2 linked regions of the Elephas maximus indicus genome follow. The protein of the gene in region 2 purifies or fractionates together with the protein of the main gene of each other region. This does not show direct contact. Links are inferred from orthologs where the notes say so. Each region holds a gene or a part of one and is shown on either strand. Other genes may lie near its edges.

The links. Proteins that work in one complex are often made in the same cells at the same time.
Region 1: the proteins of CPSF6 (region 2) and NCBP3 purify together in Homo sapiens (co-immunoprecipitation; 3 studies listed by BioGRID and IntAct, with this or other methods). This does not show direct contact. The link is inferred for Elephas maximus indicus from reciprocal best matches to the Homo sapiens genes CPSF6 and NCBP3.

Annotation. Positions count from the first base shown.
Region 1 is NC_064837.1:17,352,331-17,360,695, reverse strand, and holds the start of NCBP3 (nuclear cap-binding protein subunit 3), read right to left. Parts: upstream 3,243-8,365; 5' UTR 3,191-3,242; coding exon 3,008-3,190; intron 2,498-3,007; coding exon 2,417-2,497; intron 1,151-2,416; coding exon 1,085-1,150; intron 1-1,084. UniProt on the Homo sapiens protein: Associates with NCBP1/CBP80 to form an alternative cap-binding complex (CBC) which plays a key role in mRNA export. NCBP3 serves as adapter protein linking the capped RNAs (m7GpppG-capped RNA) to NCBP1/CBP80.
Region 2 is NC_064822.1:130,074,094-130,081,298, reverse strand, and holds the start of CPSF6 (cleavage and polyadenylation specificity factor subunit 6), read right to left. Parts: upstream 3,270-7,205; 5' UTR 3,183-3,269; coding exon 3,123-3,182; intron 1-3,122. UniProt on the Homo sapiens protein: Component of the cleavage factor Im (CFIm) complex that functions as an activator of the pre-mRNA 3'-end cleavage and polyadenylation processing required for the maturation of pre-mRNA into functional mRNAs.

The DNA of each region.
Region 1 (8,365 bases), on a different chromosome or scaffold from region 2:
CTTTGACACACTAATTAAAGGTCTGACTATAGAAAGCTTATGGGGATTGGTAAAGCAGCAACACCTCTGTTATTCCCCAATAGTTACACTAATTTTCTTCACTGACGTTTTCCCAGTGCAAACAACTTATCTACCTTCCTCTGGTAACAACTTAAGTACCAATTCTGGGGCTACCACCCTTTCTCTCATATAGCTGTTCCATATAATGGCAAACTATGTAGGATTAAGAACAGTATAGACTATAATTTTTTCAATTACAGTAAGAATAAGAAAACATTTCACTTTATTCCATTTTCTTGCTTGTCTAAAGGATGACTAATTCTCTTTCGGTCTTTAAGCCGAAAGATAAAATATTAAAAAGAAAGCATGACATATTTAATTTTTATTTTTGCTTTTATACATCCAATATAGTATTGTTATTTAGAACTGCTATTCATAATTCTGTTCCAAATTTAACAGCACACGTTAAAATCACAAATGGTATCTAAACTAGATAAAACCGATCAAAGTGACAAATTCATACGGATTGCTTATAAGGAAAACAATAGGTCTGGCTCTATGCAACAGTGCAATGAAGCTGGTAATCTAGTTAACAGCAATCGCTAGTTAAAAGGCAATACTCTCAGGTACTGGGAATAATTTTGTTGACTTGGCCTTCAAAGTTCAGATAGCCACGCAATCAGTAAGCCCTATTTTTCTAAGCCTACAACCTATGAGGAATAAAGGCATTTACTAAGGGCCTACTATGTGCCAGGCACTTTTCACTTAAAATGGCCACAAGCACACATTTTGAAAGAATGGACACGCAGCATTAAAAAAGCACTCCTAGCACAGAATTTCTTCTTGGAAATGGTTAAGCACAGGCATCTAGGTATAGTAGTTTTATCTTTTTGGGGATGTAATGTTGCCTGGATGTTTTTGGGGGATGCATGAGGGCTGCCTTGTGTAACATGCAATTAAGAACAAACGTAATCCAGCAACAAGAAAAAAAAGGAAGTAAAGAATAATACTCTCGCATTATGTTGAGGGACCAAGTTCCCAAGACACTTATCAAACTGAATAAACCGATCATGGTCTGTTTTACCTTGGAAGTAACATCGATTCCAGTGATGAAGCTGCCAGCCTTGTTTTCGTATCTTCTACTTGTGTCCTAACACAAAGAGGAACAGTGAGAAGTGCTGACAGCAACTGAAGAAAAACTCATGATAAAAGGCAGCCTGACAAGTGATTCCCCTTGGATAGTCATTCTTTTCAGCAACACTTCCCCCATCCCCGACAACTCCTTATTATGAGAAAGCCTGTCCCAGGGACTCTAAGAAGTCCCTTCTAGATCAGAGCCCACCCAAAACCTGAAGTAATCCCATCAACTGAAGATATCCATGTAAATGTGAATCTGAAGGCTTTGGAGAAAATGTCAAAGATGAGGTGCAGTCATGTCTTATCGCCCCAACCCAGACTGGACAAACTCCCCAGGCTAGGCCACTAGATGGAGCACAAGTCTACCAAAATGCAGAGAGTCCAGGCTCTCCTAGAGTTCAAGGGGAAAACACAGCACAGTACAATGAAAAGAAGATGGGATTTGGACACAGAGGATTAAAAGACAATCCTTTTATCTCTGTGGGTCTCAGTTTCTCCTATGGTATCTGCCTACCTTCCTGACCTTTTTTACTACTGTTCCACTTGTGCTACAGAACTTTCCATTTCTCCAACAAAACAATCTTGTTCCCATCTCAGAACTTTTGCATTTGCTGTTCCCGCTACTGGCCACACTCCCTTCTGTACCTGCACATTGTTGGCTCCTTTTTGTCATCTAGGGTTGGACTTGAACGTCACTACCTCAGAGGTCTTCCCTGACCATCCTATCACATTCTGCTTCTGCACGCCCTCCCTACTCCCTGCACTCTCTATCCTGTGTTTTATTTTCTTCAAACACATCCCAGTATCAGGAATTATTTGTTCATTAGTTTATTATCTGTGTCCCCCAACTAGAATATAAACTCCAGGAGGGAGACTTATCTTGATCTAGTGCCTAGGACACGGCCTGGCACATAATGAGGGGTGCAACAGATACTGAACTGAATGAACAAAAGAACGATAATACCTACTTCACAGGTGCAATGATATTTAAACAGCATAATGCAGTAAACGGTAAAGTGCCATTATGTTTATTATCATCGGCCATTTCTAGTAAGCCTACCTTAACCTTTTCTCACGACTTCAGTTTAAAGCAAGACTTGCTGACGTGGTGAAAAGTATTTTATGGCAGGTGAGAATTTAAGGATATGAGAGGACCATCCAGGCCGGAGACCAGTTGTCTGAAAACCGCACCGTACGACCACCAAACCACAAGCAAAACACCTCTCCCCATCCCCCTTGTGATAAAAGAGGGGCCGAGAAAGATGACTGGTGCACCTACTCTGGTTTCATTAGAGGTCAGATGCTGGGGCAACGGTGTAGGTCCTGTACCGCAGTGGAGCTGCGCCGAGGCAAGATGACCCTCAAGCCACAACAGAAAACACCGTGAGTTTCTGCTGCTGACAAAGCCAGTGCTCCCCAGAGAGACCGCGAGTGCCAGGTTTAAAACACCAACTACACTAAAGCAAGACCCACAAGGAGACCTGGACGCCAGGGCCACCCAACACTTCCTTCTGGGCCGCCCCTGGTTCTGTTCCCGCCCCGGGTGTCCCCATTATCTCAAACCCGGCGGCTCCTCGCTCACTCCCTTCCACAAACAGGTTCAGGGAAGCAGCGTAGGGTGTCCTCAACTACCCCCCAGCTCTCCCGCCGGTCCTCCAGCCCCCTCACCACCCGTTTCCGGGCTCCCAGCATCCTTTCTCTCTCTCCCCTTCCTCAAGCCTGGCCCCCCGCCCCCCGGGCGCCCGCGCCCCTCTCCTCCTCACCCCCAACTTCCCCCGGCCCGGGCGCCAGCCACCTCCCCTTCCGGCCCCCTCGAGCGCGGGGCACTCCCTCCGCGACCTCCTCTCCGACCCCCGCCCCCCGCCCGTACCGGGATCAGCTCCTTCAGCGAGCGCCGCACCGGCACGATCTCCAGCTCGCCCTCCTCCACCTCCATAGGCTCTGGTTCGCCGCGCTCCAGGCCAGGCTCGGCCTCTGGCGAAGGGAGCCCCAGGGCCGGCCCTGCCGGGGCCTCCGCCTTCACCGACACTCGCAGGCCCCGTACGGCCGCCATCGCCGCCCGCCGGCCGCACCACTGAGAGCCCGCTCCGCACACCCGGCGGCTAGAGCGCCGCCACAACTGGCCACAGAGGAGCCGCTGCCGCTACCCAGAGTGTCACCCGGTTAGTGCAGAAGGTGGTCCTCAGCTCCGTCGCTCCCTGGTGGTTGGAGGAACCACCACCAGCTGGGGCGGGACCTGGTGAGGAGGAGGAGGGACTGAGTGGGGATGGGGCAGGGCCTGCTGGTGGGGGCGGGGCTTGAAGGAGACCCGTGCAGTCTGGGCTTAGAAAACAGCTAGCCCTTGAGTAAACCTGTGATAAAACCTAGTTTTACTGAGCCAGGAGCTCTGGCGGTGCAGTGGTTAAGAGCTCGGCTGCTAACTGGGTAGTTGGAATCCCCCAGCCGCTCCTTAGAAACCCTTATGGGGCAGTTCTACCCTGTTCTATAGGATCACTATGAGTGGGAATCTACTTAACCCCAATGGGTTTGGTTTTTGGTTTTACTAAGCAAGAGCCTTGATGGCACAGTGGTTAAAAGTGCTTGGCTGCCAACCGAAACGTTGATGGTTCGAACCCACCAGCATAGGAGAAAGATGTGGCAGTCTGCTTCTGTAAAGATTACAGCCTCAGAAACCTTGTGGGGCGGTTCTACTCTGTCCTATAGGGTCGTTGTGAAGCAGGCAGTCATGAAAGTGTTATTAAGGGTTATATTAGCCATCCCATAGTAGTTGTATTTCAGAAAAGTTTACTCTTGCTACATTTTTGTTACAAATTTTACAGCACTTCACCATGATTGGTTGAATCCCGGGTTTCTTCTCTTCTCCTGGCAGAAGGCCAAGGCGTAGGTGCACTAACTCCAAATTTACCTGCTGTATGACCTTCCTTCAGTGGCAGTAGGGAACCATCACCATTTTTTTAGGGCTGTGCACAATATTTTTAGAGCCGTGGGCCAAAACTCATTCACAAAAATTATGCAGACTGCCCACGCATCACAAGACTGAGGACCCTCCCCACACTGTTCACGCATATGTATGTCACTCCCTATAAAAGGGGCAAATCTGCCCTGGTTCAGGGAGCTGGCAGTCTTAGGTCACGAGACCCTGCCTGCCTCCCGGTTTGCAAACCGAATAAACCTTTCTGTTCTTCCACCCTTGTGTCTGGCTGACTTCAACTCGCTAGTCTGCTTAACAAGAACCTATTAGTTGAGGGCTTCATCTGGCACCCCAGATGGGACGCAGTGGAGACTCTGGCTCAGGGTAAATTAGGTCCTGAAACCTCCTCCAGAGGGCACCCTTGACGCTCCATTGGGTCAGGAGGACTTTCTGGGCCGCACCAGCCCCAGACCAGACAACCCACAAGTCCCCCACTGGAGAAGAGAAACATTCTGACAGTGCCATGAAACAGGTACCTATTTTAAGTTTCATTTTGGAGGAGCTACTAGGTGGTTGGTCGTGTCCTCAGTAACGGGTGTTATTAGGCCTTGTGGTGATCTCCCTGTGTCCTGGGGCTGAGTCCCCACCTGCATGAGGGCACAGGTCTCCATCTGGTCTTTTGTCTCAACCCCTGCATTTTTTTTTTTTTTTGGCCAGGATCTTGTTATAGGATCTGGTTAAGGAATATTGTCCCTGTGTCTTGGGCCCCCCCCCGCCCCCGTTTGTCTCATGTTCTAGCTCGGAAGTCTCCCTGCGCAGGATGGTTTTATGTCTATCTCTCTTATGAGGAGTGTACTGAAACATCCTTTCTAATTTTAGATACTGAGTCTCGTATAAGACAGTAACTCAGTTGGAGCAAAGTACGGTCCTTACAAATATTGGCTGTGGAAGGTGTGGTACTTGAATTGCTCCACCTGAGATTATGTATCAGGGTAACCGAGTTCCGCGCCTCCGTATAGTCAGGGCCTCTCGAATACATCCTTCCCCTGGCCTACTGATTAGAAGCGATAAGATCTATAAACAAGATGGCTGCCGGTCAGTCCACCCCTAAACCATCCCCCTTAGAGTGCATCTTGACCCACTGGGATTTTTTTAAAACTGGTGACACCAGGACGAAGCATTCGAGGTTCCTCTGTGGCACAGCTTGGCCTCAATATAACTTAGAAGGTCAGGAGAAGTGGCTGGCCAAGGTAAGTTTGCACTATAATACCATATTGCAGTTAGATTTGTAAGAAAACGCGTAAGTAGGATGAGATACCTTATGTTCAAGTGTTCATGACTCTGTGTTATAATCAGGGATTACAATAGCAAAGCAGATTGATGGTTCAGGTTAATCAGAAGTCTAAACAAATTCTCGAGAGAGAAGAGTCCAAGCTTGTAGTGGGACTGTCACCCCCATGTAATCTTATTTACCATCAGATTTCCCAAGTGGTTCCTGCTGACCCCAGCCCCGGGGCCTCGGGAGCGGCCTGCATTGATCCTGGGACCCCAGGAACAGGAATGGTCTTCCCACCTCACACCCACAGTGGTGCTACATTTGGCCAAGGCCAGTCCATTTCCTCCAGAGTGTTGACAAGGAGCGTGATCCAGAAGTGGTCCAATTCCCTTTAAGGGAGGCACCGGCTGGGACAGGAGTAGACAGGAGAATTAGGAACACTTTGACGCATGTCCCCTTCACCGCTTCAGATTTGTTTAACTAGAAAAATAATTTCCCAACACAGCATCTGGATCCTCAAAAGATCCATGACATATTTTCATCCATCTTTAATACCCATCAGCCCACCTGGGCAGACTGCCAGTCTCTGGTGGAAGTTCTTCTCTCTTCTGAAGAGAGGAGAATGGTTTTGGAAAAGGCTAGACAATTCGCTGATAAAGAACATAATGAAGACCCCCAAAATCCTGACAAACTGCCAGCCAAGAACACAGTCCCTGGAGTTGATCCAAAGTGGGATTACAATTCGAAGGAAGGCATGAGTAGGCTGAGGCATTATAGAAAGTGCTTACTAGAAGGGTACAAAACTGGGGTACAAAAACAGAAAAACCTCTCAAAAATTTATGAAGTAATTCAGGAACCCTAAACAAAACCCTTCTGAGTTTCTTGAAAGAATTTTCCAGGCCTTCCAGAGACACACTGATACGGATCTGGCAGCTAGTGAGAATCAACAAATGGTTAATACCATCTTCACAGTACAAAGCTCTACAGATATACAAAAAACCAGAAATTGGATGGAGGGCCAGGTTTGCCTACCTCTCAATTCGTTGAAACAGCCTTTAAAGTTTTTAATAACAGGGACCAGGAACAAGAGCAGAAGGAGACTCTCTGAGCAAGACAAGAGGCTACCCTGCTGGTGGCAGCCTTAACTGGGAAACCATTCCCCTCACCATATCAACCAGCATCAAGAGAAGGGAAAAAAACCTGCCAGGGGGAACTTTGGCCCCCTGAAAAGGAACCAATGTGCCTTACTGTCATAAAGAGGGACACTGGAAAAATGAGTGCCCTGAACAAGGCTGGCCGGCCAAGTATGTGGTGAGTGACCTCCAACCGGGAAGGGGCCTGGGACTTCCCACAGACTGGCTCCAAGAGGGACAGACTGTCACTATCTCCCCTGAACAACCCAGGGTTAACCTAACAATAGAGGGGAGGCCAGTTCAATTCCTCTTAGACACATGGACCACCCACTCGGCTTTAAATGATCCCCTTACCTTACCCTTGAGCGCCAAAAGGACTCCAACTGTTGGTGTGTCAAGAAAAGTAAATTATAAGAACTTTTTTAAGTCAGCTATATGCACAACTGGGAACTCCAGTCTCATCAATTCCTGTACATACTAGAATGCCTGACCACCTTATTGGAACAGGATTTGCTGTCCAAATTAGGGGCCAGTATCTCCTTTCATGGAAACCCTGGTGGTGTAGTGGTTAAGTGCTACGGCTGCTAACCAAAGTGTCGGCAGTTTGAATCCGCCAGGCGTTCCTTGGAAACTCTGTGGAGTAGTTCTACCCTGTCCTATAGGGTTGCTATGAGTCGGAATCTACTCGACAGCACTGGGTTTGGTTTGTTTTGGTTTATCTCCTTTCATGGGACTGAAAACCCGGTTATCCAAATCCAGGCTCCAGCCTAGGAGGGCTGGTGGTTACAAGCCGTTCTCCTGCCCCAGAGATTAGAAGACTCCTCCCAAATACTGGAACACATCCTACAAGTAGTACACCCCATTGTATGGGCTAGTGGAGAGCCTGGAAGAGCAGTGTCTGCAGCCCCAGTGGTAATCGAACTAAGGGAAGGGATTGGAACTCCCAATCTAAAGCAGTATCCCATGAGAAGAGAGGCTCAAGAGGGACTTGAGAAACTGGTAACCCAATTCTTGAAAATGGGAATGCTTTGACCATGCCAGTCAGAATACAACACACCCATCCTGCCAGTAAAGAAATCCAACAGAGAATACAGGATGGTACGGGACCTGAGAGCCATCAACCAAATCGTAAGTGATATCCACTCAATGTCCCGAACCCCCATACCTCGCTAGCTGTAGTACCTGGAGACTGTAACTACTTCTCCGTGCTTGATTTAAAAGGTGCATTTTTCTTCATCCCCATTGCAGAAATCTCAGCCACTGTTCACCTTAGAGTGGGAAGACTACAACACAGGACACAAGTCCCAATTAACTTGGACTGTAATTCTCTGGGAATTTAAAAACAGCACAGCCGTCTTTGGGGAAGCACTCAGTCAGGATTTCCAGGGCCTCAAATTAGAGGAGGGTGTCCTGCTCCAATATGTTAATGATCTTCTCATCGCCAGTGAAGGGCGAAAGGCCTCTGACCAAAATACCATTAAGATTTTCAATCTCCTGGCCCAGTTGGGATACAAAGTCTGGAAGGAAAAAGCCCAGATATCCCAGCTACAGGTCCGATATTTGGGATTCCTCATATCACAAGGAACTTAAACCCCACCTCCTGCATGCAAGGAGGCCATTTGTGCCACTCAAAAACCATCAAACAGATGGGAGCTCAGAGGGTTTTTAGGCATGGCTGGGTTTTGTAGAATATGGATCCCAAACTTTGTACTGATAGCAAAACACCTTTACGAAGCTATGAAAGGGGGAGATGGAGACCCATTCATTTGGTCTCCTAGCTATCGACAGGCCTTTAAGGAAATAAAGGCTGCTTTATTAAAGGCCCCTGCTTTAGGCCTCCCTGACTTGGAAAAGCCTTTTCATCTTTACACCCATGAATGCAAAAGGATACCCCTGGGAGTCTTTACC
Region 2 (7,205 bases):
GGTACTCAAAAAATGTATTATGAACAATTGAGGTTTTAAAAAATTATTATTTAGTTTTGGGCAAAAAAGCATATTGTATTCACCAAATATTAGGCTAGCTACTACACTGAGTACAAATCCCCGTTCAAACTGAACTAATATACCATAGAGGCCAAGACAGAAGCTCTTTCTTCTCAACTCCAAATTCAAGTAATGTAGAGGTTTGGAAGTAGTTTAAATTCTCCCTCCACTAGGGCAACTGTTCTCAGTCTCAATTTGGTGACATCCAAAGACCTTCAAGAACTAAAGAGCACCCATAAAGAACAGCCTACTCTCTTGTGTCTTCTTCCTTCCTCCAACTTTCTTCTCCATTCTAAAGTTCATCTGGTGAAGAAAGGACCTCTACTATAGTTTCACTGTTTTATTCTCACCCGTTCTCAAACAAATTAAAGTTTCTTCTATGACAACCGAATGACTTACACTTTTTAAAGTAGGTTAATACGGTGCATTACCAAAATACAAGGACAAAAAGACTTCATAAAAGAAATGGCCATGCTTTCACAGTAGAAAATGGATAATACAGACTACAGAGAATTTCAAGGTATACAAATTCAGTTAGAAATGCAGCTCACATCAGAGAACAAAGTTGTTTTTTTTTTAATATTTACAGTAGTTTAAAAGCCAAAAATAAGTCAAGACTAGTAACTAGTAAGATAATCTCTTTCAACTACAATAAAGTCTTATAGTTTAAACAACCAGTAGAAATAAGGCCACCAGCTAACAAGAGCATAAATTAAATCAGTCTTCGATAACTTTGCAGTTGCCTCTAATTCTGATATATTACAGAAAAACATTTCAAAGACGGTCTAATATTAAAAAAAAAAAAAAAAGCAAGATGAACCTTGAAAATGACCACCCTTTTGTGGCCATAAAAAAAAACAGGAATTACCATAGCAAGCATATTACAGAAGCCAATGACATGCAAAATGAGAGAAACAAAACCTCTACTTAATAAACTTGTAGCCCCACACCCATTAAATCTATTCAAAGGTATAAAGATTTTACTGGCAAAATTATACACACACTATGTGTAAGATATAATGGTATAGATACAAGTGAATGAAAAGTTACCTTTAAAAAGGAACCTATGAAGTAGTTGCTCCTCAAATCCCCCAAATTGTAATCTTTTCTTACCTCCTGCTCAGTCAGCACTTACTGCACAGGGATAAGAAGTATCACTCCATCTAGCTATCTGGGTAGGGAAGATGTCCCTCCCAATTAAGTACGCTAAAGATTAAAATTATTTCATCAAGAGGGACTCGACAAAGCTGTAACTTCTAAAATTATGTTCCAATTCTTCCTTAATTGTGGGGAGAAACACGAAGCAATGTATTCTCTTGTAAAAAAAGCTAATGAAGACAATCCTGATTACTCAATTGTGCCTTTACTTGCAGGTATGGCCCTCTTTTGGATGGAATGTTAAAGCAAAAAAGAAAAAAAAATTTCCTAGAGATCTTTGTCTACTGACGTTAAAAGCATTAGAATCCGACTCTGTGTAGCACTCAATGAAATTTTCTCATTTGCAATTGACACAACACATACCCAAAATTTAAGAATAAAATTTTTTTCAATTTAACATTCGATAACAATGAGTTACATTTAAACATATCCAGTTTTTGAGAGTAAGAAACAATTGGAAATTTTTTTCTTTTCGAATATTTAAACCAGGGTACTAAGTCATTTTTGACAAACAGTAAGGATTTCTGTGATTTCCATGCTTTTAAAAATCTTGGGCCCTTAATCACAAATAATGCCCTTGGGGCGGGGTGGGGGGAAGCACACATTAAGCAGAATTTTATTAAGCTTCTCATACGAACCTGGAAAATAAAAAAAAAAACAAAAAAACAATGCTTTTAGGTGCACTATATTTATTCAGGCACAATTTGATTTTTTTCTTTTACGTATATAAAATGCAGTGAAGACGTGAACAGCACACTTAGCGCTTAAACGTCACTAGTAACAGACTAGATCTTTTAGAAGGATGCCCACCATCAGGCATGATTACTCTGCGGGCGATTCTTCCAGGCAACCGTGGCCTTTGATACTGGAAAAACCTTGCATTCTCCTTCCTCCAACCTCTCAAAATGTAAAAGCATGTCCTACGGGAGAAATTTAACACTTCGCTTTCGAAAACAGGGTCATATCTACAAGTCTTTATTTCTAAAACAGCATAAGAAATTCGCGTGAACGGTCTTCATTTTCAATCACTCCTCTATGTCTAATCTCTTGTTGAGCTACCATCTTTTTGTTCCATCCCACCACTGCGCTTCCAATTCTTTTTGCTCAAGCCATCTTCACGGGTATTTTCACCACAAAGGCCAAGAGCGACTGGGCCTCACAAGCACCGCAAGCCCTCGATTAATAAGCAGCGCCAAAGCACCGACTTTTATATACGATCTGTGGGTCCAAAGTCAAAGGACTTGTTGCAAACGTGCCCACACCTAACCCGCCTTCAGGAAGCGTGAGCGGAGGAGGAGGAAAGAGACACGCCGAAACCTGCCGCAAACCAAGCAGGGACGCCCAAGAAACTGGGCGCGCGGGATACAAAGGGCCGTGAATGCGGCCTTCCACGAAGCGACCGTGCGCGGTTAGAGAGACAAAATGGAGAGCGACAAGAGGAATCAGAGCCCGAGCGGTGGGGCCAGGAAAGAGGCTGCAGCCGGCGCGAGCCCCGCCAGGGCTTCCTCCTCCGCCCGGCGGCAGAGGAGGGGGCGCGGCGGTGCCCGTTCTCCCCGCCGCACACACGCGGCCCCGCCGCCCCGGCCTAGCGCGGCGGGAAGCAGCCGATGGCCGCCGCCAACAATGGGGAGCGAGGCGAGGGAGGGGCGACGGCGGCTGCACGGCGGCCCGCGTCCGGACTCCGGGCCCCGCGACAGGCCGCAGCGCCCGCGGCCCGCGAAACGACGCGGTGGAACGAGGGGCGGGGGGAGGGGGGCGCCGCGCCGGGACCGGGCGGCGCGGCCCGGAGGGGACAAGGGCGCACGATCTGCAGCCTGCCGGCTCGCGGTAAGCGACGGGGCCCGGGTCAGAGCCCGGGCCGCAGCGCCGCCCGCTTCGACAGGGCGGGCCGGGTCCCTACGTACCTGGTTGAACTCTTCGCCCACATCCGCGTAAATGTCTATGTGGTCCACACCGTCCGCCATTTTCTCTCGGCCTCGGCCGCCGCCTCCTGCAGATCCGCCCGCCGCGGCAGCAGCAGCGGATCTAGCGGCGGGGGCGGGGCGCTCTGCGTCACTTCCGAGGCCCGAGGGATGGAGGCGGGGGAGTGGTCGGGGGTGGTGGTCGTCTCTGCACAGCCTTTGGCGCTCCGCTAGCAGAGAGGAAGGGGTGCGCGGCTGAGGGCCCGGGCGGGCTTTTTTGTGTGTGTTCGGATTATGTCTGAGGGACGGAGGTGCGTCATTCCTCATTCCCTTGTGCTACTCGCGCATCCGGCGTGCCAGTGTGTCCCATTTGTTTCCAGAGATTATCTTTTCACGTTGCCCCAGCACATTCAAACGTTTTTGTTTTTTAGGAAGTTGTTTTTCAGTTTTCTTTTCATCTTTCCGTCGGGGCTTCTAGAGGGATCGAAGTTGTATTGATCTCCGATAAATGCAATGTAACCTCCGGGCATTCCGTGAGCGCCTTGAGAGCTCAGGGTCTTTATCCTGCATCCTTAGAGGACCAGCAGTTTCGTTTGCATTATAAACGCTGTATACCCGTTTGTTGTTCTCTTGAGTCATCTGCATGCTCCTATACTTTTTGTGTTTCCATCTCTAGCTCCAGTCCTCCTCTTCTTTCATACCTTCACCTCCATTGCCCCTCATTCCTGCCTTCAGATCCTCAGTTGGCTTTCTCTGGAATAGTTCAAATGCCTCTTAACTTGAACACACTAATTTTCAAAGCCTACCCAACAACAACAAAAAAAATCTTTTTATTTTTTTTACCCAACAAAAAAGAAAAAAAAAATTTTTTTTTCTTTTTTACCCATCAAGGTGGCCGCATCTTGAGGCAAGTGAGTTCTCTCTCAATAGAATGTCCAAGCAGTAAAGGAACTGGGAAAATGTGTTATCAGGCCCAAACGTCTTATTTTACAGATGAGAAAACTGAGGCCTGATAGGACCTAAGTGATCTGCGTCACATGGTCAATAAACTATTCAAAGATGTTTCTCCAGTTTGAAACTGTCCCCCATTCTTTGTTTTTAACCCATTTAAAAACAGGCTAAATTAGATTGTGTTTCCTAAGATACAGACTGGCCAGAATTCATTCCTACAGTGATAATCTCAGCCTCATCTGTCCTGGTATAGAGGAAAACACTTTGACTTTGGTTGAGGTCACAGTACAAAGAGATCTGGGTACAAATTTTGTTCAGGTACTTTAAGAGTTAGATGATCTTACGGGAAAGTTAAATAACCTCTCTCATCTTCAATCTTAGAATCTTTAAAATTGTGGTTATAACATCTGCTTCATGAAGGATGATGGTAAGTTAAATGAGATAATATGCAAAGTGTCTGCCATTGAAAAATACTGATTTCCTTTTTTTCTCCCATGGGGCATTTTGAGAGAAAGGAGCCACTCAGGATGAACGGTGAGAGCATTTTTTAGATTAGTGGTGGTGGGGTGGGGCATCACACCTTCCACTTCACCTCCTTGACTCAGTCAACTCCACATTTCAAGCACTGCACTTCCTTTTTCCAAATTCTGTTAGGATGAACCTCAAGAAATGGCAATTTTTAATAGGTAAAAAATGGCCTAACATTGGCAAGCTCATATCATTCAGGATGCACTTAGCTGCAATAAACTGACATAAGCAATAAGGAAACTTATTGTAAGAATGGAGCCTTGGTAGTGCAGTGAGTGGTTAAGCGTTTGGCTACTAGCTGAAATGTTGACAGTTCAAATCCACCAGCCTCTCCTTGAAACCCTATGGGGCAGTTTTACCCTGTCCTGCAACGGGTTTGGTTTTGGTGTTATAGGGTCGCTGTGAATCGGAATATACCATGGACTGCCAAAGGAATGAATAAATCTGTCTTGGAAGAAGTACAATCAGAATGCTCCTTAGAAGCAAGGATGGCGAGACTGCATCGTATATACTTTGGACATATTGTCAAGAGGGATCAGTCCCTGGAGAAGGACATCATGCTTGGTAAAGTACAGGGTCAGCCCAAAAGAGGAAGACCCTTAATGAGATGGATTGACGCAGTGGCTGCAACAATGGGTTCAAGCATAACAATAATTGTAAGGATGTAGGACCAGGCAGTGTTTCACTCTGTGGTACATAGGGTCGCTATGAGTCAGAACCAACTTGACACACCTAACAGCAACAACAACTATGAGTTAGAATTGACTCGATGGCAATGAGTAGTTTAGTTTTTTTTTTTTTTTTATTGTAAGGATATCAGTGAACTGGCAAAATTGACTGAAAAGCTTGAGAATCAAGGTTGGAAAACAGGCAGAAACCAAAACAGGTAAAATAGAGGTACGCTACAGGCATAAACTATTTAGGAAACTCTCATTAGCATCATTGCCACTGGCCACTTGAAAAATAAAGTTTTTACCATGGTTTTAAAATGTGTTGCTTCTAATGCTCTTACATTGAGCTCTGTAATGATTTGTTTCTGGAAATTGCTGAAGATGAAATGCCATGTTAAGGGTCACAATGTTCATATGAAGGGCTGAACCTCAGTAAAATGCAGTAACAATATGACTGGAAGTGTTTTTCAACATCAACGACCACTTTTTACGGAGCTAAAGAGGCTCAAAATTAGTAACCATACTGTTTATTTTTTCTTACAACTTATGTAACAACTTAATGAATGTATGAGTGATGACAGAATTTATTCATTTCACTACTCAATAAATATTTTTAATGCAGCTACTGTATGGCGACCGCCACAGTAAGCAGTGCTGAGGGGTACAAATAAGATTGTACCATGATGTAGTGAAAAGTGGAGTGGTAAGGTGCAATGAGGCAGATCTTGGTTTGAGACCCAATTCTTTTACTTTTTTACTGTCGTTTTCAGCAAGAGTTATTTAACCTCAATGAGACCTGTTGAAAAAAATAGGGGTAAGTAATGGATTGAACTGTGTTCCCCCAAAATGTCTGTCAACTTGGCTAGGTCATGATTCACTTGTATGATTGTAAGATTGTCTACCATTTTATCATCTGATGTGATTTCCCTATGTGTTGTAAATCCTATTACGATGATGTAGTAAGATGCATTAGTGTCAGTTCTGTTGATGAAATCTACAAGATTAGATAGTGTCTTAAGCGAATCTCTTTTGAGATATAAAAAAGAGAAGTGAGGAGAGAGACATGGGAACCTCATACCACCAAGAAAGCAGCACCAGGAGCAGAGCACATCATTTGGACCTGAGGTTCTTGTGCTGAGATGCTCCCAGACCAAGGGAAGACTGATGACAAGCAGCTTCCTCTAGGGCCGACAGAGAAAGCCTTCCCCTGGAGCTGGCACCCTGAATTCAGACTTCTAGCCTGCTGGACTGTAAGAGAATAAACTTCTCTTTGCTAAAGCCATACACTTGTGGTATTTCTGTTATAGCAGCACTAGATGACTAAGATAGGGTAATAATACCTCATGTGGGGTGTTAGATTGTGGGTGAGAAGAATGGAAAGGAATGAATAATTATTGAGTACATAATAATATATGCCAGCCCCTGAGATAGATGCTTTACAAGCATAAACTAAGATTAGACAGCTTGGGTATGGAGCCCTGGTGGCTCAGTAGTTAAGGGCATGTGCAGCTACTAACCAAAAGGCCAGCTGTTCAAATCCACCAGCTGCTCCTTGGAAACCCTACTCTGTTCTATAGGGTCTCCATGAGTCAGAATTGGCACAAAGGCAAAGGTTAACAGGTTTATATGTGTATAGTGTGGGAACTGGGGGAGGTAGTCATCCGTGGAAGTACAGATATTACTTTGAAATTTTCTGGGAAGATATATCAGTCAGAACCTGACAGGAAGTAGATGGCACACTCACTGGGAAAATGGAGGAGAGTTTAACAAAGTAACGACTTATGACTGGGTGGGCAGGGTTGAGAAACTAGTATCGGATGCTGAAGCACTGTCTTAGTCATCTAGTGCTGCTATAACAGAAATACCACCAGTGGATGGCTTTAACAGAGAAATTTGCTTCCTCACCATAAAGTAGGCTAAAAGTCCAGATTCAGGG